Linked DNA regions of Lepisosteus oculatus. Each later gene encodes a partner of the first gene's protein in a complex. Links are inferred from orthologs where the notes say so. Each region holds a gene or a part of one and is shown on either strand. Other genes may lie near its edges.

What was found. Proteins that work in one complex are often made in the same cells at the same time.
Region 2: tada2a (region 1) and mbip share a complex: the UniProt entries of both Homo sapiens proteins name them as parts of the ADA2A-containing complex. The link is inferred for Lepisosteus oculatus from reciprocal best matches to the Homo sapiens genes TADA2A and MBIP.
Region 3: tada2a (region 1) and taf12 share a complex: the UniProt entries of both Homo sapiens proteins name them as parts of the PCAF complex. The link is inferred for Lepisosteus oculatus from reciprocal best matches to the Homo sapiens genes TADA2A and TAF12.

The regions. Positions count from the first base shown.
Region 1 is NC_090721.1:9,404,753-9,416,264, reverse strand, and holds the start of tada2a (transcriptional adapter 2-alpha), read right to left. Parts: upstream 5,286-11,512; 5' UTR 5,120-5,285; intron 4,993-5,119; 5' UTR 4,894-4,992; intron 3,214-4,893; exon of another isoform or gene 3,120-3,213; intron 1-3,119. UniProt on the Homo sapiens protein: Component of the ATAC complex, a complex with histone acetyltransferase activity on histones H3 and H4. Required for the function of some acidic activation domains, which activate transcription from a distant site. Binds double-stranded DNA.
Region 2 is NC_090703.1:22,283,153-22,293,844, forward strand, and holds the start of mbip (MAP3K12-binding inhibitory protein 1), read left to right. Parts: upstream 1-5,571; 5' UTR 5,572-5,602; coding exon 5,603-5,743; intron 5,744-8,263; coding exon 8,264-8,383; intron 8,384-10,692. UniProt on the Homo sapiens protein: Inhibits the MAP3K12 activity to induce the activation of the JNK/SAPK pathway. Component of the ATAC complex, a complex with histone acetyltransferase activity on histones H3 and H4.
Region 3 is NC_090706.1:5,801,170-5,811,835, forward strand, and holds the start of taf12 (transcription initiation factor TFIID subunit 12), read right to left. Parts: upstream 5,122-10,666; 5' UTR 4,991-5,121; intron 4,399-4,990; exon of another isoform or gene 4,323-4,398; intron 3,383-4,322; 5' UTR 3,365-3,382; coding exon 3,296-3,364; intron 3,126-3,295; exon of another isoform or gene 3,034-3,125; intron 1,816-3,033; coding exon 1,552-1,815; intron 1,084-1,551; coding exon 1,006-1,083; intron 63-1,005; coding exon 1-62. Other genes in the region: discoidin, CUB and LCCL domain-containing protein 1, read right to left, coding at 10,190-10,653. UniProt on the Homo sapiens protein: The TFIID basal transcription factor complex plays a major role in the initiation of RNA polymerase II (Pol II)-dependent transcription.

The sequences.
Region 1 (11,512 bases):
TCGTTTATATGCAAACAACTTGCAAACCTGTCCAGGTGTACATGTCACAACAGTGAGAGGCACTGCCTCCACTTTTCCCGTTTCCCCTGCAGCTACCTGTGACGCTCCCAAGACAATCCAGACATGCCTCTAAAAGCCATTTAGGGTCGGCTGCACAGCACTGCTGAAATGAACCAAATGAAAACTGCTTTCCTAATTTCAGCCCTGAGATCGCTACAAATTCTTCCAACTATTGCATGCGTATTGCATTGCTACCATGCAGATAGAAATAGTGCATACTGTAATCATTAAAATATTGTTTGATTTGTCTAGTCTTTGTCCAAATTAAGTACACTGCCTCTTAAAGTGATTTTTTTCCCCCGAGGTTTCACCCCACAGAAAAACAATCTCAGCCACGTAGGACCTCACTCAAAACTGGATGTTAGAGTCAATCACTTTCAGAAGATCCCGTGGTTTGTAAAGGCAGGTGCAATACAACAGGAGAAGTCTGAGGGATCCGAGTTAAACTTGTACTAAATGCCCTTTCCTGAGATAGCTGCACAACCTCCTCTCCCAGAAACAGTCAGCAACTGCTGCTGACCTGGTCACCACCAAGGCCTGGGAAGAAAGCGTCAGCCCTTCCGAGACTGATCTGTCCAGTCAGCTGCGCATTTTAATGTCTTCATATATTATTTACAGCAGACTCATCAATAAAAGAGATTCCCATCGGGAATTTTAGTGAGCCACATGCCCCCTTTCTCATGCTTGAAATTCAGAACGCAGGGTCTGGATAGGGACAAATTACTGGGTGTGGGAAAATTAATGTGTCCAGTAATTTGACTTTTGAATTCCTCTTTTGTAAAGCAGAAAAAAATCTGGTTGAAAAACACTTGAATTCTTTACCCATCACTCTTAGCTGAGTAGGAGACCCAATCAAAATTAGTTTTGCATTCAAATGAGAGACGCAAAAATTTAGTTACCCACGCGACTAATCGATCAAAGGTTGAAACCACTTTCTGCAAACAAAACACCTGAACAGAAATAAAAAGCTGCGTTTATAAATGTCAACATGCAGAAACAGGGGAAAGCCCACATGCCCGTCACTCCTTGAGAAGCTCAAGCTGTTCTTCAGCACTAGCTCTCTCACTCTAGCGATCCTCACTCCTCCGATCGGAGCTTCCTCCCATGTTTCTCTGCCACCCTTTCACTCATTTTCCAGTCATCTCTAAGTCCCCTGCTTTCTGCAGGCGGTTCCTGACCTCCCAGCACCCGCTACCAGCATTCCTTCTGCCTGGGCTCAGCTTACACACTTCCTCAATTCACCATCATTAGGAATGATTAGCACGACTGGACGCCTGGCTCCTGTGTCCTATGGCGCATTCCCATGGGAGCAGGGAGAAGTGAAACGGTATGATTCTCTACTAGACAGATACAGATATCCCCCCCCTGTAAGAGGATCTCCTCAGTGCGCTGCAGAAGAACAGAGACTGGAAGTATCTTTCCGTCCACAATTACATCAGTCAATCACCACCTGAAAACTGGACGATATAATTACATGTTATTTCCTGCAGGGATACAGGGTGCATATTTTGTGAAGAAACATTCTCGTGTGTCAAGCTTTGACCAGAAAGTGATTTGTGGAAGTGCCATTAGGATTGAAATCCCGTTTCCTGTTTCCCAGCGAGCATAACCATACAATTATTTTGAAGCCCATAAGTTTGCATACGTGCAACTGAAAACCGAGATTCAAAACATTAATGTGTCAATGGTTAAATGTTGTCCATATGGGCTGAGCTAAGGTTCAAAGTTCGGCCTCACAACTTTCTTGGGTCTGAAACCTTTCACGTGCATTGCTATCAGAGCAGAATAAAGGCTTTGCTCACTCAGCCACACCGCCACATGACTGTGGAGCTCAGATCACTCGCTAGCCAGCCTTTTTCCTCTTCTGGTGTCAAGATCTGGCTCCGAGACTCTGAAGGCCAGGCAAGACCCCGCCGGGCTCCTGATGACAAGTGTGCTTATTTGCAACCTGCAAAGTCCTTGAAAACGGTCCACATGGACAACAAGAACACAAGGCTCGTTGTGGCTAAGAAATGGTTCAGAAATGCTGGGGATCTGACTCAGTGCCCTGATTTCTCTCTGCTCTGCTCTTGGCAGCACAGTGAGCACATTCACGGTAATATAATATTGGCCCAGACTCTATACATTTTCACAACCCTGGGGGGCATTCGAGAGTGAATAGCAGCCAGCTGGTGCCAGGCAGTGGGGGGGCAGGGGCTGGTGTGTTTGCTTGGATCAGGCCCAGTGCAACCTTTTCTAGCCAAGACCCATGCAAGAGCCACACAACTGCAGGACCCCTAGACTGTCAGTCATGGTTTTAAGGTAGCATTCTGCCTCTACCTAAATTAGCTGCAATGTAAAGCACAAGCACAGTACATGTGTGTGTGCCAGGCACACTGCCAGTACCACTGTATGCACTTCTGATCAGCCCTCTAGCTGAAGCACTGTGTCTAATTCCTCAGGATACCTACTATTGTCCACCAAGCCGAATCTCAAAGTGCACTCCCTGGTGGATTGAGTGACAAGAGAACTTGCTGAACATCCACCCATGCAAGATATTTTCACAGATTAACAGACCCCACATTCTGCAAATATATTGTCCTGCTTTACTGGAAAACGTTAAAGCATCATAGCATGTGAGGCACCTGTGTGTACTTAATTAGATCTATTATTATGAGCCGTTAAAAAATATATATTTTAAATTAAAAAACAAAAGGTCAGTTGTTCTAATTTGAAATCCAGTTATTAAATCTGTGATTATTATACAACATAACTTTTATACCTAGATTTAATCTTATAAATTCAATCATATTTTTATCACCAACGCCTATGCCCCAGCAATGCATTTTTCGGCATCCACTGCTGCTTCCTGTACTATTGAAAACTCCCGGTCTCCGAACTACCCGATCGGGTACTCGGAGTTGGCTGGTGAAATTCCTCCTTGGAACTTCAGTTAACACCCAGACCCCACAATCCGTCAGCAGCAATCCCATCTCTCCCAGTGAGCTGCGAGAAGAAAGCCTGCCTGGTTTAATCGAAACTCAAGTCAAAAGACTTAACTGACCCCTGTCTTTAATCACCTGCACTCTTCCTGCAGGCCCCCATGGATCCGAAACCCTGTGTGTTACTTTGGAGAACTCCCAGGACGTCAGCCAGTCCAAGGGAACTCGGGCACTAAAACAAGGGGAAAAGGATAAGAGCAAATCTGCAAACATGCATGCTCTGAAATGTGTAGCTCGAGTTAAACCTGACTGCTGCCCCTTGCCGAGAGCTGCTTTCTGACAAGCCTTCCACTGCCACTGTGCAATTTATACTTTCTACTGTTAGGCACATCACAGCCTGGCTTCAAGGGTTCATATATAATTGAGACAGTCTTTTGCGGCTTTGATGGTGGCGTCTTTTATTCACATGGAGATGATGGCTCGCGCCAGCGTTTTCAGATCTAATTTTGTCTCTTCGTTTCAAAGAAAGAACCCCCTGCCATTTAATTATTAAATGCTCCTGGCTGATGACAAAAGAATCGAGGTGTTCTTTCAATCCGCCGAGCTAATCTTCAAAGACCAGACTGTACGGCACCTATTAGGAGAGGTGTGAGCTGTGCGCCTCTGTACGCGGTCCTTCAAGGGACAGAGGGCTCAGAAAAGCCACGCTCAACGCCCAGTGCCTTCCTTGAACGTTTTATGATGCACTGGAATAATAACATTATGCACATTAAAAACGGCAAATTTGGCTTCTAATGCTTTTAGCAAATCACCTTTTTTTGGGGAAGAAATCAATATTCCGCCCAGGAGGAGGAACTCCCATACAGAATGGCTTCAACCAGCAGCATTTTCCTTTTCTGACTCGTTTAGACCCGATTCGTTCCTAGGGGTTCCAAACCTGGCTGAGAGCCCTCAGCGGCTGGTGGCGTCTCCCCTGGGGGACTGGAGCCCACCCCCCAGACCCAGTGTTCACTGCTGTCTCTTCACCGGCAGAGGAATCCTACTCCGTTGGGCCCCTGAGCAAGGCCCTTAACCCCAACTGCTCCAGGGGTGCCTTACAATGGCAGACCCTGCGCTCTGACCCCCAGCTTCTCTCCCTGTCTGTGTGTCTGTGTCTCCTTGGAGAAAAGCTGGGGTATGCGAAAAGACGAATTCCTAATGCAAGAAATTGTATAGGGCTAATAAAGAAACATTACTATTATTAACCTACACCCCAGTGGCCTTGTTTGGTTGCAAAACCCATTTTTGGTTTCTGCTCTTTAAAGGGAGAACAGAACGGCGTCTTTCTCCTTGACGTCCACCAGAAACCGTCCTGCAAGGTACAGAATCTCTGGCTCATTACTGGACAGGGCTCCAGCAGTCCTGCGCTTCACAGTCCCAGTGCAGAGTGAGGATAAGACCGATGGTAGATTTATTTCAATATTCATGTTCATAATTGAGCAGGCCAAGACCAAAGCTGGATTCATCGGCGAATGAGATCACAGTGCTCAGGGGATTTGGGGATGTATGTGAAGACCCTTAAAACGGTCATTTCCTGTTCCACTGCAGTAACGTTGCCCTGGGGCAGTCGGAGCTGCACTTCCCGGCCCCGGGTGGAATATCCAATAAAAGAGTAAGGCAAGTCTACTCGTTTTGTTTTCTCCCGCTCCCTGGAGAATTCCACAGACACGGAATTTTCCACTCCTTGCACCCCCCCCGCAAAACTGTTATTTGATGCCAGTAAAGCGCAGGGCTTTAACGCCGCGGGTTGCACGAGGAACGGACGGGCGACACGTCACACTCAACGTCACACTCGGTCGCGAGCCGCTCGCGCGCGCAAGGAGCGCTGTAACGGTCGGTTTCTCGGCCGAAGAAACGTTTTTCCTGAATTTACCTGAACGACGCGAAGCCGATCCCAAGATGGGCGTCCTTTCCTCTCTTCCGGCGCTCTTCATCGCCAAAAGAGCCGAAGTATTATATCCCCCAAGTCAGACTGCAAAATGAAATTTTATTTTATATTTCATTAGCGGAAAACAACTCAACTCAACAAAACAACTCAATTAATATTCCAGATTCTCGGCCCTAAATTGGGAAACACCTCAGCTTAACCTTTTCCTTACCTCTCCAACAACCATACATGCTTCTTTAATAGGTCATTAGGGAAGTATGTTCTTTGAAAAAACAGAATCGTCAATTTTGTTACACAGGACCACACGCTTTTTTCAGGGCTCGGCTGGTACCGCAGAAACCCCGCGAGCACCGGGGGCGGGGGAGGGAAGCCGGAAGCGCAGCGAGATTCCCCGCCCCTTTTCCTGCCCTCTCGCCTTCTCATACGTCACAGGCACCGCCTCCTAGCCCCGCCCAGTAGCGCAGACTCAGCAGCGATTGGACAATAGTGTCGATTGTGTAGCCCGGATCATTCTCTGGAGCTCTTTAGTAAAAGGGCATTTAGAGCCGAAAACAGGAGGCACGTCCTTGCGCAAAGGGTGGTAGGGGTGTGGAACAAACTCGCCGGCCATGCTGATGAAGCCGATAGACTGGCTTCCTTCAAGAAATGGCTTGGTGAGATCTTTGGACCAATTAGCTACTAACTGCCAAGCCATTCTGCACCGAATGGCCTCCTCTCATGTGTAAACTTTCTCATGTTCTTAGCATCCTTTCTTTCTGAACCTCTGCTTCTCAAATGCAGCACTTACCCATTATGCGCTCTCTCGTTTCATCAAAGCTTCCCAAATGAAACTGCAAAAACATACTACAGTATGTTTGTGGAGTCTGCCTACCTTAAAAAACCCTAATCGATCTGTTTAGGTTTAAACCAGATAATCCTCAGACCCTCATCTTTTAAAAAAGCACAAAAAAACCTCCCTTCATTAGACCGTTATTCTTGAAGTCTGCACATCCTGTTTGCTGTGCTGTAGTCAAGCCAGGTGTCCTGGGAAGAAGGAAGAGAGATCAACAGCCGCCCAGGAAATCCATCTCAAAGTGGCGAAGGGTCACTTCAGGCTGTGCCCCAGGAAGGAAAAGGCTGTTTGTTCCAGGTGTCAAGGGAGCACTCCATCCATCTGTGTGTCGAAACCGATCTGCTGTTCCCCCTGTAATTATAAGATAGAGTTACTGGATACCCCCCTGATTTCAGTGCCCGGATGAACTGTGGGCTGGTTTTAATTGCTCTCACTGGGGCACTGAGAAGCCCCACAAGCGTCAGGGATTTCCTAGGCATTCTGGGAGGCAAATTGGCAGCTCTAGTTCAGTATCAGTCTCAACTCTCTCGCTTGTTTCTCTTATAGAATCGGCAGTCCAGCCAGTTTTCTATCTCTAAGACCTCAGTTTGGAAGTGACTTCTGTCACCAGGGGCAGCAACAGAAGACACAGTTGAATGAGGATTGTGCCTCTCTAGGAGGGGTGATTTTATCAAACGTGCATCGTGCAGTCATGCAGCCAGCAGCCATGTCACCCTGCAGCTCCCAGCTGGTGACCCTCTGAAGCCCCGCAGGTGTGAGCCTGGTCAGTACCTGGATGGGAGACCTGCTGGGAGAAACTAAGGCTGCTGCTGGAAGAGGTGTTAGAGAGGCCAGTAGGGGGCGCTCACCCTGCAGTCTGTGCGGGTCCTTTACTGATGTGGACACTATACTGTAAAAAGGTGCCGTAGAACTGGGGTCCCGACTCTCCATGGTCACTAAAAATCCCAGGGAGTTGGCAAGATTTCCCCCTGGCCTTTACCAATCATGGCCTCCTAATAATCCCCATCTCTGAACTGGCTTCATCACTCTGCTCTCCTCCCCACTGAGAGCTGGTGTGTGGGGAGAGTACTGGTGCATCGTCCAGGTGGGGCTGCACACTGGAGGTGGTGGAGGGGATCTCCATTGTCTGTAAAGGGCTTTGAGTGAAGTGCTTAGAATAGTGCTACAGTATATAAGGGTAAGGAACTACCATTATTAGTTTTAAAGCCTACATTCTGCATATCTTTGCATGCACGCGTGCCAGAAACAAAAACACAATCTGGATCTTCAAAAAAGCAAAGGACTGATCGGATCAACTCTGTTACATTTGGTTTGAACAGCACTGGAGAGAACAGGCTCTGCCGTTCCTGGGCGTCATGCTAGCAGCGCCCATCAGGCTTATCTCTGCGGACAGATGAGGGGCTGTTTGAGATGACATCCTAGTGAAAACAGGGAAAGGACAGCCCGAGCCGTTCACCTTGGCCAGTGCCGAGAGAGAGAGCCAGCCGATACACGAGTCACCCGGAGGGTCGTCTCTGTGCGCCATCCATCTTCATTCCCAGCGTCGCCGGGGAGCTCACAAAAACAGGTCGTGACCTTGGAGCTCAGGGCCTGTCATTCTGAGCCTCGCTCCGACATTCCAGACCCCCAGGAGTTATAGACAAAGAGGGCCATTAAGCCCTGATTGATTCGGAGGATGCTGTTAAAGGACATTAAGCTTGGAAATGAATTCATTCAAGCATGCTCTAAGTGAGGAGTTCGGCAGTGTTTCCCTTTCCTTTCTTTGGAGATTTTTCTAATCACTTGCAAAGAGAGACGTGCTTTATCCTGCATTCCTAGCTCCAGTCCTGGGCACAGGCAGGACAACTGGAGATGGGCAGGGAATGGGCAACAGGAAGGGCACAGTACTCCCATACCAAAAGAGAGACTGGTTTGAGGGGCGTTTCCGCAGCAAATTGCTTGGATGGACCTTTCCAATTCCCCGGGCAAACAGAAATAAATCCTCCGCACCACTTTGTCCCGAGGTCGTGCACAGTTTTGCACTTGCCCAGGAAAGGTTTGCACGTCTCTCTGCACGGCAGAAGCCCAAGAGGATGCAGGAGGCAAGAGTCACGCAGGTTGAACCCCGAATCCACAGGAGTACTGTATCTCGCCTCTCTTCCAGACCCCCCTGCCCTATGCCTTCTGGCCGGCAGTGTGCACCCCACGGCTCTCCCACCCCTTGTTCACCTGCGGTTCTGTGAACGTTCGGGAGGGAGGTTCCGTCTGACTCGGCTCTCCGTAATTAGCAATCACCCCTGACATCATTTCCTCTCCTAAACACTATAAATACTGGACGGGACCCCCTTCTCTCCCTCACGAAAGTCTTTCTGCATCTCACCTCCACCCCACCTCCCCCTCTGCAGCTGCCCCTGGGTCACCCCTCACTCTGCAGGGGGCTCCCAGCCTCCTCGTCCTCCGGCCAGGAGGTTGGCCCTCAGCCAAGTGGGTTAAGCCAAAATGTTGACTAAAACACTCCACAATCCATTCAGTACTCTTAATTCATCGGTGTTGTCAATCCTTGTGAAACAGCGCTAGGCCGTTGCTCTGAATACTTTATCGGAATCAGGACATACATTCTGTATACACTATATATGCAAAGTCCTCTGATCTTACAATGTCCTGCTGTGTATGCAACAAAAAGACGAGCACAGAAGGGAGCAGGCACAAACACAGCAGAAGCAGTATCGGAGGTTTTACATCACAGAGGCCAACGCAGAAGGATGCGATTGTTACCAGCTGTACAGACAGGGAGGGAACACCCAGGCTGCGTTAATTTTAATGCTGCACAAAAGAGCACCATACAGTAAATGCTATACACAAAGGATCTTGATTTTAAATTCTTTTTAAAAACAGATTGGGGAGGAACTCCAGAAAAATGAGCTCCCTCTTCTGCCTATCTTCCCTTCCAACTATCCTATCCTGTCGACATGAAGACACCTTATGACAGGTTCTAAGACAAAGGGTTTAGTATTAGTAACCCACGGTTACAAGCATCCAAATGACAAGCGCTTTGTTAGAGCTGTCTCTGTCAGGGTCAGGGGTCACCTGGGGCCACAACCCCAAAATAACCCCCCCAGCCACCCTCCTCACGGCTAGAAGGCTGATGCTGTATAGTTTTAACAAGAGTGTAGATGCTATACAGTACATCGTTGATGGGAACTACGCATGACTAATGTCACTTCCGCGCATTTAATTGAAACCATCTCGAATTGGTGTACTTTTAAAACGGGATCATCCGCTTGCAGTCGTATATATATCGGGCTGCTGTGCATGAAAATGCACCCAGGCCTCGGGCAGAGCGGAGGCTGCAAGTCTCCGTCAGCAGGAGGGGTGCTATGTGTGCTCGTTGGGGGTAGAAATTGATCTCCGTAACACGCGCTCAGAAAACAAACATGAAGAGAATCAACCGGGGCGCAGCGGTGGTGACAGAGAAGTCTCCTTTCTTGTTGTTTGTTTCAGAAAAGGAGCCATTTCTCCCTTGGGCGAACTCAGTGTCTGCCCACTCCCCCGGTGGGCGTCGGTCCAGCCTGGAAGGTCTCCCCCGCGGGGGTCCGAAGCTGTCGCGTCTCGGCGCGGCGAGAGGCTGGGGGTCTTTGCAGGAAATAAAGGAAACAACGTCCTTAACGTTCTCTCACAGCCCCTTTCCTGAAACGCGCTTCAAATTCAGACTTAACGCATGTGCTGGGACACAGGTGGTCTTCTTCTTGTCCCTTTTCCCTTCCATTAAACCATTACAATCCGCCCCCTTGTGCAAAGTACACAGGAGGATAATTAAATCCGGTGACGTCACCACGCGAGAAGATTTTAAAAAAACTTAGAGCGTGTTTGCGTGGGGGGAGTAATACCCCCTCATCACCTCAAACACGAGCCCATTCCACCCTTGAATATGTCCCACACATAACCTGTGTCAAAAGGTGGCCTCTGTTAGATGCCTTGACATTTCTAAGTAAATATCATACTGAAACCCCCCTTCATTCATTAGTGCAGTCGCAAAGGGGTGGTGCTGAGTTATGCAGGCCTGCTACAGTACCAGCTTCCTACTGCATGCCTGGGTAGGAAGTCCATATATGGACTGTGGGAGGAAAGGCATGCAGAAACGGAATGAACATGCAAACTCCACACAGATAGCATCCCAGCTCCAGAATGGAGCCCACAGCCCCAGCTTTGCAACCACTCCACCACTGTGCTGCCTGCATTTTGAAGTCTCCCTGTCAATCCTCTGGTTTGGCTAGTCCCGATTCATAGGTATTTCAGTATTTGCGTGTATGAGCTGGGAACGATTCAGTAGATATTTTCTACGAGTTGCTTTTTAATGCCTGCAATCACTTTCGCCTGCCCTGTTCCCCTGGTGTAATCAGCTTAATCCAAACCTTCCTCCACACAGATCCGCTGCCTGGAATTGTATGGGCTGATGTGCGTTAAAAAAACAAACTCTATTGAAAAAGCGCGTGCATGTTCAAAAGGAAAAAAAAACACAGCAATGATGTCAGTACCATGATAAAATGTACAAGTTTCCAAAACTCTTAGTGTCATGATTAAATCACCAAAGCCCCAATGCCGTGGGTACTGGTAAGGTTAACAGACCGGAGTTCTGACTAAATGTTTTTAAATAATTCATGATAATAAAAATCCTACTGCAGGGTGTCCATTTTCATTTATGGGATATAATAATCTGCAGCTGCCAGTGTCTGTCTTTTCTTATCTTGAGATAAAAAAAACAAATCATAAAACCAGCACAGAGAGCCATAAAATGTAACTGTAACTGCCAACCAATAATTTGGAGGGGTAATTTCAGCCTTAATACCACACTCCCTGAAAGCACAATTTTCCCTACTGCAAGATTATTAGGGGAATACATTGAGTGTCAGTAAGGTACTGTAACATGCAGCTTAGAGTTACAAAAAGGTAAGACAATATCCTTAAAAACTGAACACACCAGCATCGGTACAGACATATCATATGTATCTGTATAATAAAATGTAAGCAGTAGATAAAACAATACAAATAGCTTTGGTAGTGTGTGAGTGCTGCACAACTTTACAATAAAGGGAACTTAAGCCACAGTTAAATGCATCTTCAACGTGCTTTTGCTAAGATACTTAACAAGTGCTTTTATTTGTTTAATGGCATTTCCTAAAACAGAGCTTCGGCTTACACACTGGACACCATAAGCTGGGAGCTCACGTCCGCGGTAGCAGCAGACAGATACGTTACCTCCTCGGTTTAAAGGCACGCCCCACGCAGGCAGTTTAAAAGAGCTGAATCCTTGAGCAGAGAGGCAGTTATTCAAAACTCTCAATGGCACTGAAACTTAACACCCAGTCGACCCCTTCAGAATCAAGAGTGAAGCATGAAAAGTATAAGGAAGTGCTTCGAAAACTGAGAACAGAGGCAGTTCTTTACACAGAGTGTGGCAGGGGTCTGTAACAAGCTGCCCAGCCATGCTTTTGAAGATGATACCCTGACATCTTTCGGGAAACACCTGAATGGGATATTTGGCTTGGCTACCGTACTAGCAACCAAATATGCCAGCTAGATGGATCCATTAGCCACCTCTAGTTTGTAACTTTTACCATGTGTGCTTATCTCTTTCTAAGGCCATCTTTCATTATTCATGTGCAGTTCAGTTAAGTATTCGAGCAGAGTTAGAGATTATGCACCATTATCTATTTAAAGCCATTTGTAACACATCTTGTAATTACAGTTTCACTGAACGAAAGAAGTGCCTGAAGACACTTGAGTCAGAGGTTG
Region 2 (10,692 bases), on another chromosome or scaffold:
CACTAGTTTATTCTTTCCAGGAGGTGAGGAATTAGGCGGAGTGTGAAGAAAAAGGACAAGTGTTACATTACTACCCCCTCCTCTCAAAAAACAAAACAAAACACATTTTTTTCTTAATTCCTCCAAAAATTATTAACCTCACCAGAGTGCGTTCCAGAGTTCAATTGTAAGAGGGTTTGGTTTTGTTCTCCTAATTGTTCTTTTTTGTTGTTGCCTTCATCAGCCTCTTCTCGTTCTATGAAAAAGGGGGAAAAATCTGAATAGCCAAGAAAAAGTTTCCCACAGTCACTGGCCACAGAAGCACACCATTGTGTTTTCTGTACTCCCTAGCTTGATGGACAACATTTCTATAAACGGGGAGCTGTTCTGTCAATGCATTCTTGCAGAAAAGGCAAAGGGAGAGACAGATTCTGCCAATATCTGACAATGCATGTTAACACACACACATACACACAAAAGTCTCGGCATTCACACTGGCAGCTGTCTCTCAGACCTTCACAACACAGGTGTTTTTTTTTCTTTTACCAAGTTAACCATTTTTTCCACTGAAGCAAAGCATGTGCAGCGATACCTGAGGAAGAGCATGCCAGACAGACCGATGAGGCCTGTGTCATACCTATATCCCTGCTGTCGGTTGCTAAACACCACAGCAGACAACAGTAAGGACATAACCAGCCATTCACAGCGCTGAAAATAATCAAACTACTCTTTTGTTCGTCCTGATTCAAGAAAAAGGAAACTAGACTCAATATGGAAATACAACACTGCTCAAAACAATGTGATTTGTGTGCCAGTAATGTTTACAAAACTTGATTTTATCACCAGCTGGAAGCATTTGACGAGTGTATTAACACTGGCTTCCTGGTTGGAGTTTAAAACTGCATAATAAATATTTTACATGTCCTGCAGCAGGGGTTCCCAATCCTGGTCTTAGAGACCCACACACCTGCAGGCTTTCCTTCCAGCTGAGCTCACAGTTTGATAATTGAGCCCTTAATTGACTAATAATTAGATTAACTTGAATCTTTCATTGTTTTCAATGTGCCTAAACACATTGTCAACGGGCTTTTAAATATGCCTTTAGATATTGACTGCTTTACTGTTTCGTTATCTAAAAAATCTAAACAAATATTTTATTCAGTTTCATAAGGAACTGAAGGTCTCTAGCTTTTGCAATGAAAACAAAAACATTCACAGGTTCCAATCACATAAACATAAAAAAAAGTTCAGGTAAGGATTCAATCAAGTAATAAACTGGACTAGATTTAACACCTGCAGGTCTGAAATTCCCCTTTTACAACAGGAACCCTTTTATGACAAGTAAGGAAATATTTCTACTTCCAGATCTTAACATTTAAGGAATATTTTGCCAAAAAAATAAAGGAATAATAATAGACACTTATATAAGGACTGTCTTCTCTCCTTAGGATGAAATAGTATTAAACATCAGAAATCAGCTAAGTTAACATGAAAGGAATTGTCTTTTTTTCTGTCCAGTTGTTAGCAGCATGGCATCATTATTTTCTGTTTACTTTTTCGGCTTGGCTTTTAAGTCAATAACCACATGTAAATTACTAAGACAATATAATCTTTCCCATTTTTAGTGTTCAAAATCATTTGCATTTTGGATGTAGTGCTGTCGCAGTTCAGTGAACGAGCTGACTCTCCAGCTTCTCCAATTTGTATCACAGTTTTCATCTAAAATGTTTCGGTTGTGGACAACAAAGAGCATACATCCATGGTCATTAGGAATCTATTCCTTTTTCTCTTTTTCTGACATTGTTGGCCATAGAAACTCACTGACAGTTAATTACCATGGAAACAGCAGTAATGACTACTTCATTTTTGTTCTCTTTTCTTACATTCATTCTTCTTGGAAAAAAAAAACGGATTTTGGTAAAATGACTCAACGGACATTTTTTACAGCCCAAAACAGCATCCTGAGGTGCGCTGGAGGAGAATTTTACTACATTGCCTTAGTCTGGTGATAATCTTCTAGCATGCTAAAGAGGTTGGTACAACAATTCAGTACCTAACATCTGTGCCCCCACATAAAAAAAACACTGTATTTTTTAATTTATTCCATTCTTCTCTATTTCTACAAGCTGTTTGAAGGACAGATTCAAGTCTCTCCTTTATTCTGTAATATTCCTAGAGAATGTGCTTCAGTTGGCTCTCTCACTCCTCTACCTTGACAGGCCTTTCATTAATAAACCTTGCCAGCAGCTTTCTTGTGCTACTATTAACCTGAAAACCATTAAATGGAACCCCCAAGTCCCAGGTTTCTCTTTGTATGCAGGCTTCCACAGATAAGGACCTGAGGAACAGAAAGCCTTTTCCTCCCTTTGCCCTCAGCAGTGTCTCTTTTTTAATTAGCTGTTTCCACAAAAGCCCAAGAACAATAAGTCAAAATGATAAAAAAAACAATGCATGACACCATTAGACGCGGAACACCAAAGCTCGACTGTACCGACAGCAGAACATTAAAGCCCCCTTTTAAAAGTATGCCTTCTTAATGTATTCAGCAACTGACACTGTATCACATTTTCCCAGGGCTCCTGTAGTTTTCTGCACTTCTTAACTCACTGCTTCCTTCTTCTTCTTTCCAGCCCCTCTGTTTCCTTTGACATTACTGGGAAGTCTGTGGATTTTAGCTTTTTTTCTTTACATTAGGGCTGGGAGGGTGTGGGGGGGGGGTGTTGAAGGAAAAAACAATCCTAACCTTTTTCTTTGTTTCTAAAACATGAAAGCAGACATCTGATCTATGACTGTTGCAAAACGCCACTTCAATAACATAACATTTTAAAAATATAACTCCCCCAGCGGGTATTTGAAAAATGTATGTGTTCAAATATTGAAGTAAAGAAAACGAGTGTGCTTTAAATAACTTCAAATTGTTTGAAATGCAACATTGTTATATATTCATTGGAGAATACTAGGGTATCTTTCTCGTTAGACCAGGCTGGTTGTGCAAACAAATGTTCCCATCATGAATATTACCAGCCTGAGCCATGTTCTAACATCACATCAGAGTTTTAGCCAGATGTGGAAATTCACACCAATAATTAAGTGGAACATAACCGAGTGTGGTGCATTTCCCCTAATTTCTTCATTGTTAGCCGTGAACTGGTGCCGTAATGGTGTGTTCTGGAGGAAGCACTGTCCTTTGCTTGCCAAAACCCTTTTGTTGTGTCTTTTCAGGCACAAGGGAAGATATTTTCCATTGAAGAGGAAAATGTGTAGTACGTTTACACTGAAACCTTGGGAAACATTTGTTTTACAAAAACGCATAGCAGTCAAATTAATTCATCTTTAAAATCAATTTGTTTTAGAAACTATGGTTTTAATGTTTCATTTTAAATAAAAAAATGTTGTTTTTTTTCTGGCAAGTCTGTCTCTTCAGCCAAATAGAATATTGTTATAACAGCCTGTTATAATATCAGGTCACACAACATTAGGTATGCTATTTAATGGAATTAAAGCTAATTGTTTTTCTTCTTGTATAGATACAATAAAGGCTCTCCCTCCTTTACTGAAGTATTATAACCCCATATACAGCTGCACAAAAACTGGGATTCCCTTCTGCACTTATGTGCTACACTGTGAAAAAGGGGTATCACTCACTTACACACATTGTGAATTTAATCATATTTTCCTTTTAATAGAACACAACATTAATATGTGGATATGCCCTTCAAATTATACCCTCATAAAAGAAAGTCATTCTCTCCCTTGTATAAGCAGGAGAAACATATTTATTTATCTGTTTTCTTATGATTAAATAATCATAAGAAATGTACCCACATGTAACAATTATGGAACTATTTGCCTTAAAGAATGCATGGAATTAATAAATATGGTCAAAATAGAATAATGACTATTATAGCTCCTTTTTTTCTAGCTTTTCTCCCCCATTCTCTCCCCTAATGGTATTTTCATTGCCATCCATACAATTCCCTTTGGAAAAGAAAATAACTTTTTTTCCCACACAAAAAAACATTGGGTGGTTGAGTGCTACCAGAATCCTCCTTGTAAAACTTTATGTTCTTATGTGACACCTCTCACCATGTTGCTGTACAACCTTCTAGTTTTATCCGAACGTCTGAGAGAGGCTCCTTCATGTTTCTAACTGGAGCCTGCATTGTTGGTTATTCTTCCAGCCTGTTCATTCTGATATGACCTTTCTTACAGAACCACTGAAGAATTCCAAAAACCTCTGGACTGCACAATCAAATGGCTCATATCTGATCGGATGTGAGCTGTTTCACTCAATAACAGTATATTTCAACAAAAATAATATATTGAATTTTTTTAGCTTAGTATCATTTTGAATAGGTGGACCTATTCCTTTCCCCTATTTTCATGTGTACATCCAATGACATTTTTGCCAACTGATTTTTTTTATGGTGGTAAAATTACAGTCACTCTATTCTTTAAAGATTACAGACTACAACCTCATGCAGTTAAACAGGGTATGAAGAAAAAGATAGTGATTGGGCCATAATGCCAAAAGTAACTTTTAGATATTTTCAATAGTTTGCATTCAGAGAAGAAGTAAAGAATCTACGCATTTTGGGCAAAAACAGATTGTTCTCTAGATGAAGGCATCCTAACTTTCAGACTACATGGTTTGAAATCCAGTAGGATTTTTTTATTATTATTATTATTATTAACATCTGCTTAAGGCTCAGGGGATTTAAAGGGTTGCTCCTTTAACACTTTATTGGATCGATCCAGCAGTCCTACAAGGTGTACAGTTCTTTAAAACATAAAATGAGTCAGATTGCCGACTGGAGTTAAGAACACTTAAGTTAGGACATTCCATTATCGAGAATCGAAATCTTGGTATAAAATAAAAGCATTATTAATCTGATGAAAACAGTCGGAATTACAATAGTTAAAAAAGAACCGGACATTTTTGTGTAAATGCTAAAACGACTGACCACTAAAGTCCTGAGACAAATATAAATAACGTAAATCGCTTCACTTCACTTATTAGTACTTTAGCACTCTTTAAAATATACAGATTATTTTCTAATCTGAAAATCCAAATAGGAATAGAAATCCAACATATGCTTCAAATTATTATTGGTTACAGGGCAAGTTGGATATAAAGTTAATATATGAAAATTTGCATTTGTTTTATAAGTCAATTGTAAATGTTATGTTTTTTTATTTTTATTTATGCTTAACAAAAGAACAAACATTACAATACAAACAAGAGTACATATAACAATTCCAAACAAAAATATCGTCAGGGGTACATACTACTACATCAATTCAACTTATGAAAAAAGATTAAACAAATTAAATAAGAATAATGTTCGCACCGCTTTCATATTTTTGCATTTCGAAATAGTCAGCAAATACCTCTTCCATTTTAAAATGCTCAAACACAGGGTACCTCCCAGACCACTTCATTGTATGTATGTGAAATGTTATAAATGTTGATACTTATTTTTGCATTCACCTCCAAAACCTTCCCTCCCTGTCTTTCCACCAATAGCAGATGACTCTGGATTGATGTCACTCAAGCGCGACTTCGCTTCACTTAATCGACCAATCATCAGGCACGACGTTCAACTCCTGAGCCAAGGGTGTCATGGCTGATTCGGTGGAGACCAGTGCAGACAGTTGTGAAGGAGGCGACCAAAAGAAGAACGAGACAAGAACATCTCCTACAGGCACAGTTACAGAATGTCTTTGTGACATCTTCACTGCCTTGACCCAGTTTAGCGCAGAGGTTAGTGTAGAAGAACACGTACAAGTTAAATGTACTGCACTTATTAATTATTGTTGGGACTTGTAGCTAGCTTTCTGTTAAAAATAAAAGGTGGGTTTTAAGAGGTGTTTTGTGCTTCGGTACAGGTATCTGTAATCTTAAATGTTGCATAAGAAGGAATCTTGTCAGTAAGAACAATTAAGGTTTGCAGTTACTGTAACTGTGTTATATTTAACTTAGTTTGCTGTTTACTCATTTTAAACATGTGTTAACATTTTTTGAGTGTACACATATAATCTGTAGAGTACATATTGTAAAACGAACTACGTACGAGTGTATAACAGTTGCAGCCCCGCAGTAAAAGCCTCCATAACGTGTAAGTCTCCGTTGTTTAAACTACAGCTGTCATTAATCAATTGCTCACACTAAGACTGGACAACTGCTTCAATATTTTAAAAAAAGATATTGTCCGTGATCATAGGTTAGTTGCTATTCCGTTTTTAGAAAATCCAATATGACTTTAAAATATTTTGCAATAACGTTAGAACTCATGTGAAGCTCTTGCTGCAAAGTACGAAGCGCCTCGTTATGCGAATTTTATATGGTACTATTCTCTCCCTATTTGAGCTTAACTATTTTTTAATGAAAATGAATCAATGAAAGGGTACTGTACTTTGAAAATGTGAATGAACTAGTTTGTTCTGCAATTATATGGCACGTATTCAGTTCAGGGATGGCACGGTGGTGTACTTCTAAGCTTTGCTGCCTCGGTTCCGTTCCTATGATACTATTCAAGTGGAGTCTATTCTTTTGGTGTACCTTTCGTCCAGGTACTCTAGTTTCCTCCCACAGTCCAGAAACATACTGGTAAAAACTGGCTTTTGGAAAAAGTGGGCCTGGTGTGAGTGTGTTTCGTGTCTGTATGTGTCCTGTGATGGATCGGTATCCTGTCCAGGGTGTCTTGTGCCTGTTGCTCCGGCTCCCACATGACCCTTTATTGGATTAAGCGGTTAGAAAATTGAAGCACATGCAGTTAATTCTTCTTTTGTGGCAACAGGGAGGGTAAATCGATTAAGGAATAGTGTGGCACAGCTGGACAACAGAGGCCAGACAAGGCTGTCTTGGCTCTTGGGCTAAGTTCTGGACTGGGGCACCTTCTGTTTGGAGTTTGAATGTCTGTGTGGGGTTTCTCCAGGTGTCCTGGTTTCCTCCCACCTTCCAGAGACTGGAAGGCTATTTATGTATCTTCGCTGGCCCTGCATGCTTGTGTATGCCCTGTGAAATGTTCCGTCTTGCACCCTATGCTTCCAGGATAGGCTCTGTGCTGCCGGGCCCCTTGCTACGAATAAGTGGCTCTCCGATAATGGATTGATGAATTATATTAAATAACCGAGCTAGGGTTTATTTTGTGAAAAGGCAACAAACTTCTGGAAACTGCCTCCCTACAATTTAGATTTTTTTTCCCTTCGTTATTCTTTGATGTAATATGGCAAGCCAATTTGAATGTGTTTTAAAGGGTGCTTCACTGCTGACTGGCTTTGTCATCTGGGTTTTAATTAAAGAGTAAATAGGTTAAACAATGGAGCAGCATAGTGGCCCGATAGCTAGCTTGCTGCTTTGCTGCACTGGGGCCCTGGGTTTAATTCCAGACCTTTCTGGAATTCTGGTTTCTGTGTTCTCCTGGTTTGCGTGGGTATCTTCTGAGTGCTCCGATTTCCTCCCAGTGTCCAGAGGCATGATATTAGCTTAATTGGCTTCTGGGGAAAATTGCCCCCTGGCGGAGGGGTGGGTTTGTGGCTAAGGATCTGCGTGTGTGGCTGGAAGGTTGCTGGTTCAAATCCCGCGGCCAGCAGAGGAATCCTACTCCGTTGGGCCCCTGAGCAAGGCTCTTAACCCCAGCTGCTCCAGGGGCGCTGTACAATGGCTGACCCTGCGCTCTGACCCCAAGCTTCTCTCCCTGTCTGTGCATCTCATGGAGAGCAAGCTGGGGTATGTGAAAAGACGAATTCCTAATGCAAGAAATTGTATATGGCTAATACAGTGATCTTATCTCTAGTGTCAGTCTGTCTGTGTGTGCCCAGCGATAGACTAGCATCCCGACTAGGGTTTATCCTGCCTTGCGCCAGTTGCTTATTGGGATAGGCTCTGGTACAACTGCTTACAAGTACTGGATAAAGTGATTCAGAAGGAAGGATGGTTAAACCATGTCTTGGTTAAAAGTCTTCATAACAAGCAACGGTGTTTCAACAGTTAACAGACATCTTCAGCTTCCAAAACAAAATCCTGTCTTGTGTTGTGGTGATGAGGCAGACATGGTGATGATATAAACCCATCTTTCTTCATGGGTTTCACATAATACCTGTGGGAAGCATATTTGTTATGATAGGATATATTACCTAAGTGCACCAGTTCTGTATTTTTTGGGGAAAAAAGCTAATTGGAAAATAGAAGGCTGAACTCCAGCAGGACTAAGGCATTGAGTAGTACTAAAACAATTTGGCATATTGACTGATGCACATGCACTTCCCTGTCTTTTTCAAGGTTAATTTAGGAGCTGATGTATTACAAATTGTCGCAGACCAAAGCAAGCTGCAGTTCTCTTCAGCTACTCAGCCGGCACAGCTGTACAATTCCATTCAGCGTCACATTTCCAAATTACAGGTAAGAAATCAACACATTTAAGATTTTTTGTTGCTAGTTAAATTATAATGTAAACTCTCTTTTCTCCTCATAAATGGGGCATCAGTGTGTAAATTGTTCTACAAATGTAGATTAAAACTATATTTTGTCTTTTTTTGTTTACTACATCATTTTGAAACATGTGGGTGTTTCAGGATTTCAAAAGTATTTGGAAAAAAATTCTGATTTGTAATTTAATTAGAAAGTAAGAGAATAAAGATAGTTATAATGATAGGTGGCAATACCCTGGCCAGTTAGGTAGTTCGTAGCTAATTGCTCCAAGGATCTTATTCAGCCAATTCTCAAAAGAAGCTTGGTTATTGACTTTAAACCCATAACCAAAACCTACACAACCCTTTGGGTTAAGAAGTGTCATCGGTTCTCAGTTGTAAATTATATTTATCATAGTTCTTGAATTTGATTAGACTGAATATTTCATTTTTTACAGGTTTTTTTTTAGCATTATAGTTTAAGCTTATCATGCTTACAGTGGTGTGAAAACGTGTTTGCCCCCTTCCTGATTTCTTTTTTTTTTTGCATGTTTGTCACACTGAAATGTTTCAGATCATCAAACAAATTGAAATATTAGACAAAGATTACACAAGTAAACACAAAATGCAGTTTTTAAATGAAGGTTTTTATTATTAAGGGAAAAAAAATCCAAACCTACATGGCCCTTTGTGAAAAAGTGATTGCCCCCCCTGTTAAAACATAAATCAACTGTGGTTTATCACATCTTTGGAAAGCTGAGTTCAATTTCTCTAGCCACACCCAAGCCTGATTACTGCCACACCTGTTCTCAATCAAGAAATCACTTAAATAGGACCTGCCTGACAAAGTGAAGTAGACCAAAAGATCCTCAAAAGCTAGACATCATGCTGCGATCCAAAGAAATTCAGGAACAAATGAGAAACAGGGTAATTGAGATTTATCAGTCTGGAAAAGGTTATAAAGCAATTTCTAAAGCTTTGGGACTCCAGCAAACCATAGTGAGAGCCATTATCCACAAATGGCGAAAACATGGAACAGTGTTGAACCTTCCCAGGAGTGGCCGGCCGACCAAAATTACCCCAAGAGCGCAGCTACGACTCATCCAAGAGGTCAGAAAAAAACCCAACAACAACATCCAAAGAACTGCAGGCTTCACTTGCCTCAGTTAAGGTCAGTGTTCATGACTCCACCATAAGAAAGAGACTGGGCAAAAATGGCCTGCATTGCCGAGTTCCAAGACGAAAACCACTGCTGAGCAAAAAGAACATAAAGGCTCATCTCAGTTTTGCCAGATCCCCAAGACTTTTGGGAAAATACTCTGTGGACTGACAAGACAAAAGTTGAACTTTTTGGAAGGTGTGTGTCCCGTTACATCTGGCGTAATAGTAACACAGCATTTCAGAAAAGGAACATCATACCAACAGTAAAATATGGTGTGATGTCTGGGGCTGTTTTGTTGCTTCAGGACCTGGAAGACTTGCTGTGGTAAATGGAACCATGAATTCTGCTGTCTACCAAAAAATCCTGAAGGAGATTGTCCGGCCATCTGTTCGTGACCTCAAGCTGAAGCGCACTTGGGTTCTGCAGCAGGACAATGATCCAAAACACACCAGCAAGTCCACCTCTGAATGGCTTAAGAAAAACAAAATGCAGACTTTGGAGTGGCCTAGTCAAAGTCCTGTCCTGAATCCGATTGAGATGTTGTGGCATGACCTTAAAAAAGCGGTTAAGGCTCGAAAACCCTCCAATGTGGCTGAATTACAACAATTCTGCAAAGATGAGTGGGCCAAAATTCCTCCACAGCGCTGTAAAAGACTCATTGCCAGTTATCGCAAACGCTTGATTGCAGTTGTTGCTGCTAAGGGTGGCCCAGCCAGTTATTAGGTTTAGGGGGCAATCACTTTTTCACACAGGGCCATGTAGGTTTGGATTTTTTTTCCCCTTAATAATAAAAACCTTCATTTAAAAACTGCATTTTGAGTTTACTTGTGTTATCTTTGTCTAATATTTCAATTTGTTTGATGATCTGAAACATTTCAGTGTGACAAACATGCAAAAAAAAAAGAAATCAGGAAAACACTTTTTCACACCACTGTATTTGAGTAAAGTATTTAAAAAATGAATTCCTTTCCCTATGGTGTATATTCACCCTGTTTTTTGTTTGGATGGGTTTATTCGGAACCTAACTGATTTTTGATATGCTTATATCTGATGACTTACATTTGCACCCATTTATACCGACTTGGATTTAAACCTACAACCTTCCAGTTATATTTTTCAATAGTCAAAATACAGCTGTT
Region 3 (10,666 bases), on another chromosome or scaffold:
GCGAGCTGGCAGGCGGCAGTCACTACACTCTCAATGAAGTCATCTGCAATCTGCAGCAGCATCTATGTAATGGGTCACAGAGATTAATCAGTGGCAGTGGCACTTCCCAAGGGCAGTACAAGAGATTCCGGCTAGAAACATGCATTCTTCAACTCTGGATTCAGAGTATCTGTATCAGCAAGAAGACATTTATCATGATGCCCTGCCATTTAGAAAATCTACCAAACCCCCGGTATCTTAATCTAACTTGTTCCACGTATTATCTAAAACCAATTTGCAATACAAACCAACAGAACCAGCATTAAAGACCAAGGAAAATCAAAAACACAATAAGATGCAGTGAAAGCAAAGGGAGCATCTGAATGAAGTTAAGCAGGTGTGAGCCTGGATGTGAGACCTAAGGTTACTGCTGGAAGAGGTGTTGGTGGGGCAAGTAGGGGGCACTCGCCCTGCAGTCTGTGTGGGTCCTAATGCCCCAGTACAGTGACAGGGACACTATACTGTAAAAAGGCACTGTCCTTTGGATGAGACGTAAAACCGAGGTCTTGACTCTCTGTGGTCATTAAAAATCCCAGGTCCTTTCTTGAAAAGAGTAGGGTTTTTACCCCAGTATCCTGGCCATACGTCCCATTGGCCTTTACCAATCATATCATGGCCTCCTAATAATCCCCATCTATGAATTGGCTTCATCACTCCTCCCCACTGAGAGCTGATGTGTGGTGAGCATTGTGGCGCACCATGGCTGCCATCACATCATCCAGGTGGATGCTGCACATTGGTGGTGGTGGAGGAGAGTCCCCATAACTTGTAAAGTGCTTTAAGTGGAATGTCCAAAAAAGCTGTATATAAGTGTATGCAACTATTATCACTATTAATATACCAAGACTTTTCAGCTCCACCATCACCACAAAAGAAACCAACTTTAATGAAACCTGACTGCTAACACATGCAATCTTACAACTTTGTCTGAAACTAGTCTTACACAGGCACATGGATGGGACTCACCTCCTCCACATCTTCATCCAGCTGCTCGTTGGGGTCAATCTCTCTAACCAGGTCCTGCAGCTTCTTCTTGCTAAGCACCTGGATGTAGGACACAAGCACAGCTTACTCATCCAACTGCAGATGCTCCTCATTGTCACTTTGTGACTACATACTATAAAAAGGCTCAGGAAAAAGATGCAGGGACAGTTCTCTAGCCTTTTCTAGTACAGAACACTGAAATTTGATAGTGGGTTAATGCCTAAAAAATAATTTCCAAGACATACAAAAACAATGCAACATCATCATGAGCCAGAAGAGAGATTCCTGTCTGTCATGTCTGTCCTGTTACACAGTGGCTTAAACATTTGAGAACCTCATCTGGCCATTTTTAAATATGCCAGTGGATCACTTCCTGGCAAATAATGATATGTTAAGGAACTTAATCTGAAGGCTGCCAGAAAGATAGAAGAAATTAGAATCCCCCTACACACACAAAAACCATGGCAGAGAAGTATCAAAATCCATGCGTAACACATTAAGCAGTGATAACAGACTGGGAAGGGGTACCTGTGTGCCCTCGGGGCTCAGTCTTCCAGGTACCTGGGTATTTGGGACTTTGCCCGGTACCACAGCTGCAGTGCTATTGGCCATGCTGGTGGAGAGAGGAGGGGTGGCAGAGGGCTCGGCTTTCACAGTGGTGGAGAAGTTAGAAAGGTTGGTTAAAGCCTGTGGCTGGTACTGGGTCATAATCTGCTGGGCTTTGGCCTTTAGATCATGAAGTTTCTCGAGGTCTTGAAGCTGTTTGGAGTTGTAAGGACCAGGTCCAATCAGCTGCAATTAAAAATGAAAAAAAAAATCTGTAAACAGTGATATATCTTGGTTTAAAAATGGGAAGGTCTGAGGCTTCCCAGAAACATTACATAGGTTTAAAGACAAGCTGGTCTAAAGCAGCAGGGGGCAGTGATTAACTAAGAAAGCAGGGCAGTGTAGCATGTCAGCATTTTGCAGTGTTGGGGAGTATATAAAGAGTAAAAACATACTCTTTAGTAGAATAATGTGTGGGTGGAAGTTGGTGTTCCTATTGTGTATAGTGGGATCCTTAAAAACTCATGCTGGAGTCTTGAGAAACAATACAATAAGAAATAAAAGTAACCAGGCATAAGAGAAGATTTTCATAGCTGGTGTGACCATTCTGAAGCCCAATAAAGAAGAGTTTTTCAGAGCTATGACAGCACTACCCTGTGAACACGTGACACTGGAAGGAAACATTTTCTTTACGGTTGGCAAATAGTCATCAGAAATTAAATGACCTCATCAACAGGTCACCGCATGAGTCGAATGTCTTTCAAAAAATTGCTGCCAAATTTCCTAACAAGAAAATAACAAAACTACTGTTGCCATTTAGTAAGGCAGGATTAAAGTAGACAGGAGGTTGCTGGTGAAAGCTGTTCACTTAACAGACCTTTACAATAAATAAGCAAGTAATAGGTTTATTCCATGCTGAAAAAAAAGAAAGAAAACAACGTTTTGGCCATGGAGCCTTCTTTAGGTGTGTGGAGCCGCCTTCTCTTTTCAGCATGGAATAAACCTATTACTTGTTCCTTTGCAGCATACGCATTCTGACGCAGCTACCCACTTGAACTACTAACAATACACGATCAATCTGTTTTATAAATAATTTTAAATGCCACAAATACCTTATAATTGCTATAAATATCTTACAAGAATACAGAATAACTTAAGGAAGAGACCTTTGAACTTTCTGCTCAAACACACAAATAAACCTACATAAAACTACAAATGAGAGGTTACTATTGGCCCCTTTGTCTTGCTTGGTAGGCTCACTAATAGATAACCATTCCAAGGTCCAACAAACCATACAGTTGTTTGTTGAATGAAGCCAGGGTATCACCTTCAGAATCACCTGAAAATCATGAAGGTGTGCACTTAGATGGCTTTGTCAATGCATTTCTTGATTTTGAATATTTGTGCCAAGACCTTGCTTAGTCTTCACTGGTCATAACTAAAACGATGAAGTTTTTTTTTTACCTGGAGTAGAACATTCCTCTAAATCCAAGAACACATCTATTGTTCTCCTCTGCACTGATTCCAGAGAATCAATAATTTTGAAAACTGTTTGGCTGTTAAAACAACAAGAGTGAATAATGAATATAAATGCATCCTACAAAGATAACCAGGTAGAACATACTGTATGCTTGGGCCAAGTGAGTGAGTTATGCATTGTAAGCTGATGCTGCACTCACAGCAACCTCACACAGCAAAGGTCAGCTCACACAGCTACTGTACTTACTGCTATCTGAGTGTCTAGATCCCTAATAACATCAGCTACAGCTGAAGGCCCAGTAATAGGGGAGGCCATTTCCACATGCTACTGTACCTGGAAACAAACAGCATGTTACTGTCACTGCACTGTCAATGCCAGAACAGCACACAGGTATATGAAAGGCTACATAAGAGTAGAGACCCTTCAGCGACATGTCTCTGCTCCTGTTCTAAGAATCACGCAGGAATGCTACTGCATGACACTGGCAACACACAGCTAGTTTGCCTTTGGTGGTGGTGATGTGGGGGTCATGTTTATATCACCATATTTTAAACCTTATCTCTTAACCCAACTGTTTAAGTAACATACAAGCAGCCCTCCAATCTGCCATTGTTCTGTCTGAGGTCTGCTTGGTGATACATTCCTGGCACCTAACTAATCTTTTTAAATTAATCAGTGAAACAAGTTAAGACTCTCAACTCACAGGGCCTCTTTAAAAAATATTTCAGTTGAAACTAGATCCTAACTGTAGCCCTCCTGATGCTGCTCCAGCAAGCTAAATGCAAACCAAAGCAATGCTACAAAGACATTCCGCGAGGGCTGGGGTTAAGAACAGTTGTTTTACGGCTCTGAAGTCTAACTTTGAAACTAGTTACCTTACAAATAACACCTTTTCAAATGCACCGATGGTATTTGAAAATAGTTCCTAAAAAATATTTAAAAGCTCAACTGGAAACCCCGAAGAACTGATTTGGAGAGCTGCTACTCCAACATGTACAGTAACTACAGTCTACCAGTATTTACCTTCCCTTAAACGGACAACATTACAAGCAATAAGAGAGAACTCTGGAAGTAGCAGTGTGTACCACCTGTACTCATAAAAAGTAAAAGAGAGAAAAATAATCAACATACGATATCAAGTGTATTATTGGTCATTTGGGTGAAACATCCCTAAAGCATTTTACTTCTATTGTTTAAATTAGCTGAAATGGAAAATAATTCTCTCGATGTCAAAGTGGAGCCTAATTGCAACGACGAACACGGTAAAACTCACGTTTCTCAACAGTAATAACGGACCGATAAGCTTGTCCAACCAGAAGTGGTAAAGACGACATACATCATAGAAACATCTACGAAAATAACATCCAAATTAAAACTGCAATACACAAAAGAGGCATACATGCACAAAGACAGCGATAGGTTTTAATTGAACAATTCTCCCCATTACTGAAGGATTGCCAAAAAAGTGGCGTTCCTTTGACATCTAAGAAATGTGCGATGCATTGTAAATTTGTTCGAAATAGTGGTTTACGTTACGGTAGTCTCGACAAATAAAACTATTTATTTCTCCCACATACCAGCGGACAAAATTAATCAAGATCTCCAAATCGTCCGTCACACATCGGTCCTGTGTATTTAATGTTTCTACTGATTCTTCTACTGTCAAACCTATAACCAAACCGGACTGAGACAGCTCCGATCATGCGAACTGAGTAAAGCACGAAACACGTCAAACAGACATTTTTACAACGCCAAATGTTAGACTTTTTACATAATTTTAAAAAGGAAGGAGGCATTACGCTCCTTATGAAGCCGAAATAAACACGGGGTCCGCTATTTCGAATAGACGGTTAACTTGTATCTACTTAAAAGTAATTTTCCAAACGTTTCCCGCCGTCCGCAGTGCACACGGATTCACTTCTGAATTCGAATATAACTTACATTCCAATCTCAACTCTATCTCCCCATGTTTCACGCCTTATTTCTGGCTTTTAGATTATTTAGATGCCACCGACGTCGAACACCGTGACTCCCAGTATCAGCTTTGTGTTTCTTTGAACCAACTTCCTGTCTCTCCGGAATTACTTCCGGTGCCACTTGACCTCCCTAACGTCCATTCTGATTGGTTAATGGCGGGCGTTAAGGCTGTATCCTGTAACCAGAAGAAATTACTACGGTGCTTTTTTCGCTATATTATCGATGATGTACTCTTCACACATACTATTGGAAATAGTTTTAGTTTTAAGTGTGATTGTTTGTACGCTGCATTCTCCTGGTCTTTACTCTTTGATGTCCTTGATTTCGTGTTAAACCAGGCATTGTCAACCTTTCTTTCCACGTCTCTTTTTATATCCTCTGAATTAGACATCCAATCAAAACAAAAAACAGAATACATGTTCTGATTCTAATGTGATATAGTTTATAGTGTTACAAAGAAAACGGTTGTTTCTTGGAACTTATTTCAAACTGAACTGCGAGTGATTAGAACTCCCCTTAAGTGCCCTTGGAAGACTCCGCCGGAAAAGATAAACTGTTTAATAAACAAGCTAAAATTCCCCTTGTTTCTAAAGAACTAGGAGGTTTCCTGGACATAGTGTTGCAAACTGGACCAGAATCAACAGATCATTTTGAGACAAGACAGGCCTTACATGTTACTTGTTACTGAACCAAACTAACGTGCAAACTAAGTAGAACTACATTTTATTACTTTATTTTTGTCAGAGGAAATAAATCATATCTGCAATTTGGGTGATTGCAAAATGAAACAGTGCAAATAAAAAAATATTGAGATTCCATAATTAATATATTTATTAACAGTGTCTCATGATAATTAAGCAAATAATTATCCCCTGATGAACAAGAAGGGATAAGAATACTTATTCTTAAGAATTCTTATACTTAATAATATATTTATATTATTTTTATACTATTAATACTAAGTTATCGCTGCTAGTCTTCATAGTTGTAGTTCTTAAAATGATCAACATTACTAACAAATATAACAGGATCACAAAAATGATAGTTTAAACGTTCACTGATACTGTGCGACCGACAATCTTGACTGAAGCCCCGCCTCAGAATTGTATGGTATCCCATGATGCCTCCATATTTGCATACAACTCTTCTTCGTTTTTTTTTTAACAATGATATAGAAATGGCAGTATTTAAGAAAACGCCGTTTTGGCTTCAACAGCTGTATCTACAAATAGTTGTTTTGCATACAGTGTGATAGGAACACTAGTTTTGAGCTCTCGCACAATAGTCACCGCAAACCGCTTACTCATGCAAGGACAAGGCTACTCCACCTGCGGATGCATTCGGTAAAAAGGGCTTGTGCTGTGAATTGCACAGGGACGGGGTGGGGATCTCGCCCCGTCTCTGCGGAATCGATATCAAGAGATTTCGGAAGCACAATTTTTGTGATTCTGGGCTGCTGATGATCGATATTCTTGGCGCCCTACATTATTGTGTTAAAAACAGATGGAAGTCGTGTCGTTAATTATATGTAGTTGTGGAGCGTCAATATTTGTGATGTGAGACGCTTTGCTGCTTAACCACAGGGTGTCGACATACGCACGTGCACGTAGAAACAGATCTTCCTCAACTAATTTCAACCGATAAAAATTGAAGTTTTCTAAAATGATGCTTAGTAGATATACACTATACTACTTATTAAATATTCAAGTTAAAAAGTTAACGGACTGCTAAATGCTATTTCTCTGTATAGCAGCACAGGGTATTTGGTAGAATTCCGGTCTTAGGGTGCTAACTGCATGAAATTTGAATGTTTTTCCCATGTTTGTGTGGGTTTTCACTAGTTGGTTTTCTCAGGTCGCTCTGGTTTCCTCCTACAGTCCAAATAAATAATAATAATAATAATTCCTAACACTTACATAGCACTTTTTGGAGACTCTACTCAAAGCACTTTACAGTAATGGGGACTCCCCTCCACCAATGTGCAGCCCCACTTGAATAATGTGATGGCAGCCATAGTGCACCAGTATGTTTACCACACACCAGCTATCAATGGGGAGGAGAGCAGAGATTAAGCCAGTTCACAGAATGGGAGACCTCCTAATACTCCTCATGTATGAATTGGCCAGGATGCCAGGGATACCCCTACTCTTTTCAATCAATCAAAGTTTATCAAATGCACAAAAATACAGCATGCAGCAATAAGTAGCCAGCAGCCATATCACCCTGCACCTCACAACTGGCAACCAACTGAAGCTCAGCAGGTGTGAGCCTGGTCAGTACCTGGATGAGAGACCTCCTGGGAAAAACTAAGGTTGCTGCTGGAAGAGGTGTTAGTGGGGCCAGCAGGGGGCGCTCACCCTGCGGTCCATGTGGGTCCTAATGCCCCAGTATAGTTACGGAGACACTATACTGTAAACGGTGCCGTCCTTTGAATGAGACATAAAACCGAGGTCCTGACTTTCTGTGCTCGTTAAAAATCCCAGGGCATTTCTCGAAAAGAGTAGGGATGTAACCCTGGCGTACTGGCCAAATTTCCCATTGGCCCTTACCAATCCTGGCCTCCTAATAATCCCCCTCTATGAATTGGCTTCATTACTCTGCTCTCCTCCCCACTGAGAGCTGTTGTGTGGTGAGTGTTCTGGCGCACTATGGCTGCCGTCGCATCATCCAGGTGGGGCTGCACACTGGTGGTGGTGGAGGGGAGTCCCCATTACCTGTAAAGCGCCTTTAGTGGAGTGTCCAGAAAAGTGCTATATAAGTGTAAGCGATTATTATTATTATTAATTGCTGGTAATGAAATGTCTTTTCTACGAGCTCACTGGGTGGGGCTAAAAAAGTTACAAAATAAAGTTAAATCCTAATCGTGCAATAGAAATTGAATAAGATAAACTCAATATAAACAGAACTGCTATATGTCCAGGGTGTATGCAATACTTTATGTCCAAGTAGTGCAGTATGCCAAATACAATAAAAACTGTATGTCCATGTCCATGGTTTCCTGAAGAAACTGCAGCTTAGCTATTTAGCAGTCTTATTGCCAGGAGGTAGAAGCTGGGATGACTGGGGTCCCCAGGAATGGACCTGGACGTCCTAAGACATCTAGCTGAGTAGATATCCTGGATGTTTGGTAGCTCTCAGTCGGTGATGAGCTGTGCTGACTTCTCCACCCTCTGCAGTACTTTGCCGATTTTTAATGATATTTTCTTACGAATCATACTGCTTCCAACAAAGTGTTATTTCTCATGATTACTAAGGGATGTGTAAAATTTAGCCTCCCAAAATATCCCCCTCAAAAGCACCGTGTCATTTTTAGCATGGGATTTCAATAACAAACAGCGTCGCTACCGCCATCCTGAAATTTCTGCTGTGGACGGATATGAAAGACTACAAAACCTGAAGTTGTTTCTGGCAGTGTTCAATGAGTCCAAATTCAGACTTGTCCTTTTCTGTTTTCTCCTTTTCTTTTCCTTCTGCAGAATGGAATCTGCCCAAGGTGCTACTAAACCTTATTAGCTGTTATCCATGTTTTCATATCTGGACAGTGCGTTTTAGAGACTAGTTAAGATCTGTTTCTCTGGGGTTACTATTAAATGTACGAAAGGTATGGCCACAGCAAACAAATTAAAGAGTGCCTCTGGGCTCTGGAGATGAATGCAACAAGTTTTATAATAATCTCATCACTTTGTTGAAGCACAGAGCAAACTCTTAGTCATATATAACTCCACAGAACATGCACAAAAAGAGTGGGGAAATTAGGTGTGTTGAGGGTTACATCATCTTAAAAATAGCTTCACACACTGAGTCATTTATTTTTAATAAGAACAGAAAATTGTTTTCAAAACCATATTTTTGTTTAAAAAAAGATCAAACAATCTCACAATTTGCTCGTAAGTCATTGAGATTTATTTTTTATATTTCATTTTTTTTTTCTGCAAGGCCAGAAAGTGCACACTCTTGCCCGTGTGTCCAATTCAAGTGTAAATGTTGTAAGTGCAGTGTGCAGTGAGATTAAAAAAAAAAACACATTTTATTGCAGCTCAGCCTCAATCTTTCCCTTCATTTTGTACTGTGTTCAATAATATTCGAGATAAAAAAAAGTTTCAAAATGGGATTGCAGTAATCTCTCATACCTGGGATTGATGCTCAAAAAAATATAAATGAAAGTTTATGGTGTTTAAAATGGGCACATATGAAATGTGATTTGGATATCTGAAGCACTTCATTATACTTTTGTTGAGTAATTCCTAGCACTTGTGCTGTACGACCCATATTGCCCAAGATCTTATGAAATGTGTTCCATAGAGGCTCCCCAAAGTTCAATCTGCAAAGAACCAGACCAGCCTGCAGGCCTGACAGGCCAGTGTGCATGGTTTTGTTTTTGGCTTTTCTGACATGCTTCGGTACAACATTGGTACCGTTTCATGGAAATGCTTGGCACAGACCTTCTCCACTCCAATCCTTGAGGCTCCACAACATCGACTGGCTGTACTTAACAAGCAAGTGCAAATTCAAAGACACCTTTGTGAACTACTGGAATCCTCCTCTTCCAGTCTGGACCTGTCTGCTCTCAATTGTATTCTAGGTGTTCTCTACTGCCACAAAGCTGGGGATTAAATGAGAACATTATTGTGGTGATCCACGAATTACAAAAGCTTAACATGGCCTTATTATGGCACAAAACTGTAATACAAAAACTCTTGTATGCTTTTTGAAAACCCTGACACTTAACTGAACAAGGCATTTGTTCAATGTTTATGATGAACAAGTATCTTTTAACCAATGGCCATGATGTGCCATTATAGTCAAATGGTTGCTTAATACAAATTTCATTGTGTGCCTCCTTTCACAGATACTGTACACCGGAGTTATTGAACTCCTGTCTGTGATTGGTGATCAAAGGGAGTCTTATAGTGGATCCTTAAAATAAAGTATAACAGTAACATATTGTGTGACTGTGGCCTACTAAAGGGACCTTCACTGCTCTCTGATTGAGTCAGTGTATTCATGTTATCAGTATCGGTGAGGATACTCGCTGCACCTCTCTTATCAATTCCTTCCAGATCACAGGAGTGGCAGTAAGTGATCAGCAAGGCTGTGGTATTACAGCACATTTGAAGGTACAGCACATCAAGCCAGATTGGTCCATTACTCAACGTGCTGTCATCACAATGGCTCGTGATACATGTGGCCATGGGAGTCGCTGGGCACATGGCACGCTGGTTGTGGCTCAGCATATACCACGCTGGCTTTACGTGGGCCATTGGCAGAGGTCTGGGGAGTGCAGTAGCCGCTATGTCCTTGCTGTGCTGGCCGGTCATACTGAGGCTCCATGGGAGAGTCATTGGACGGCTCTTGGCTCACGAAGGGCCTAGGAGCCTGTGCTGGGGGCACCACTCGGATCACACAGATGTTCTTCTTGGGGCCCGCGGCGAAAAGGTCTGCAGACTGCTCGCTGAAGGGGGTGGCATATTCAGGCTCGGGGGGCAGGGGCTCAGCGTATTCGTGGATTTTCCCCGGGACGTCGTAATGGTTCAGGATGAGTGGGATTGTGTAGCCCTCATCAGCCGCAGGACGGAAAGTGGAGCCCAGCTTCTGTCCTGCTGCTATGAGATCCGGCTCAGCATAATCTGGGGACAGAGG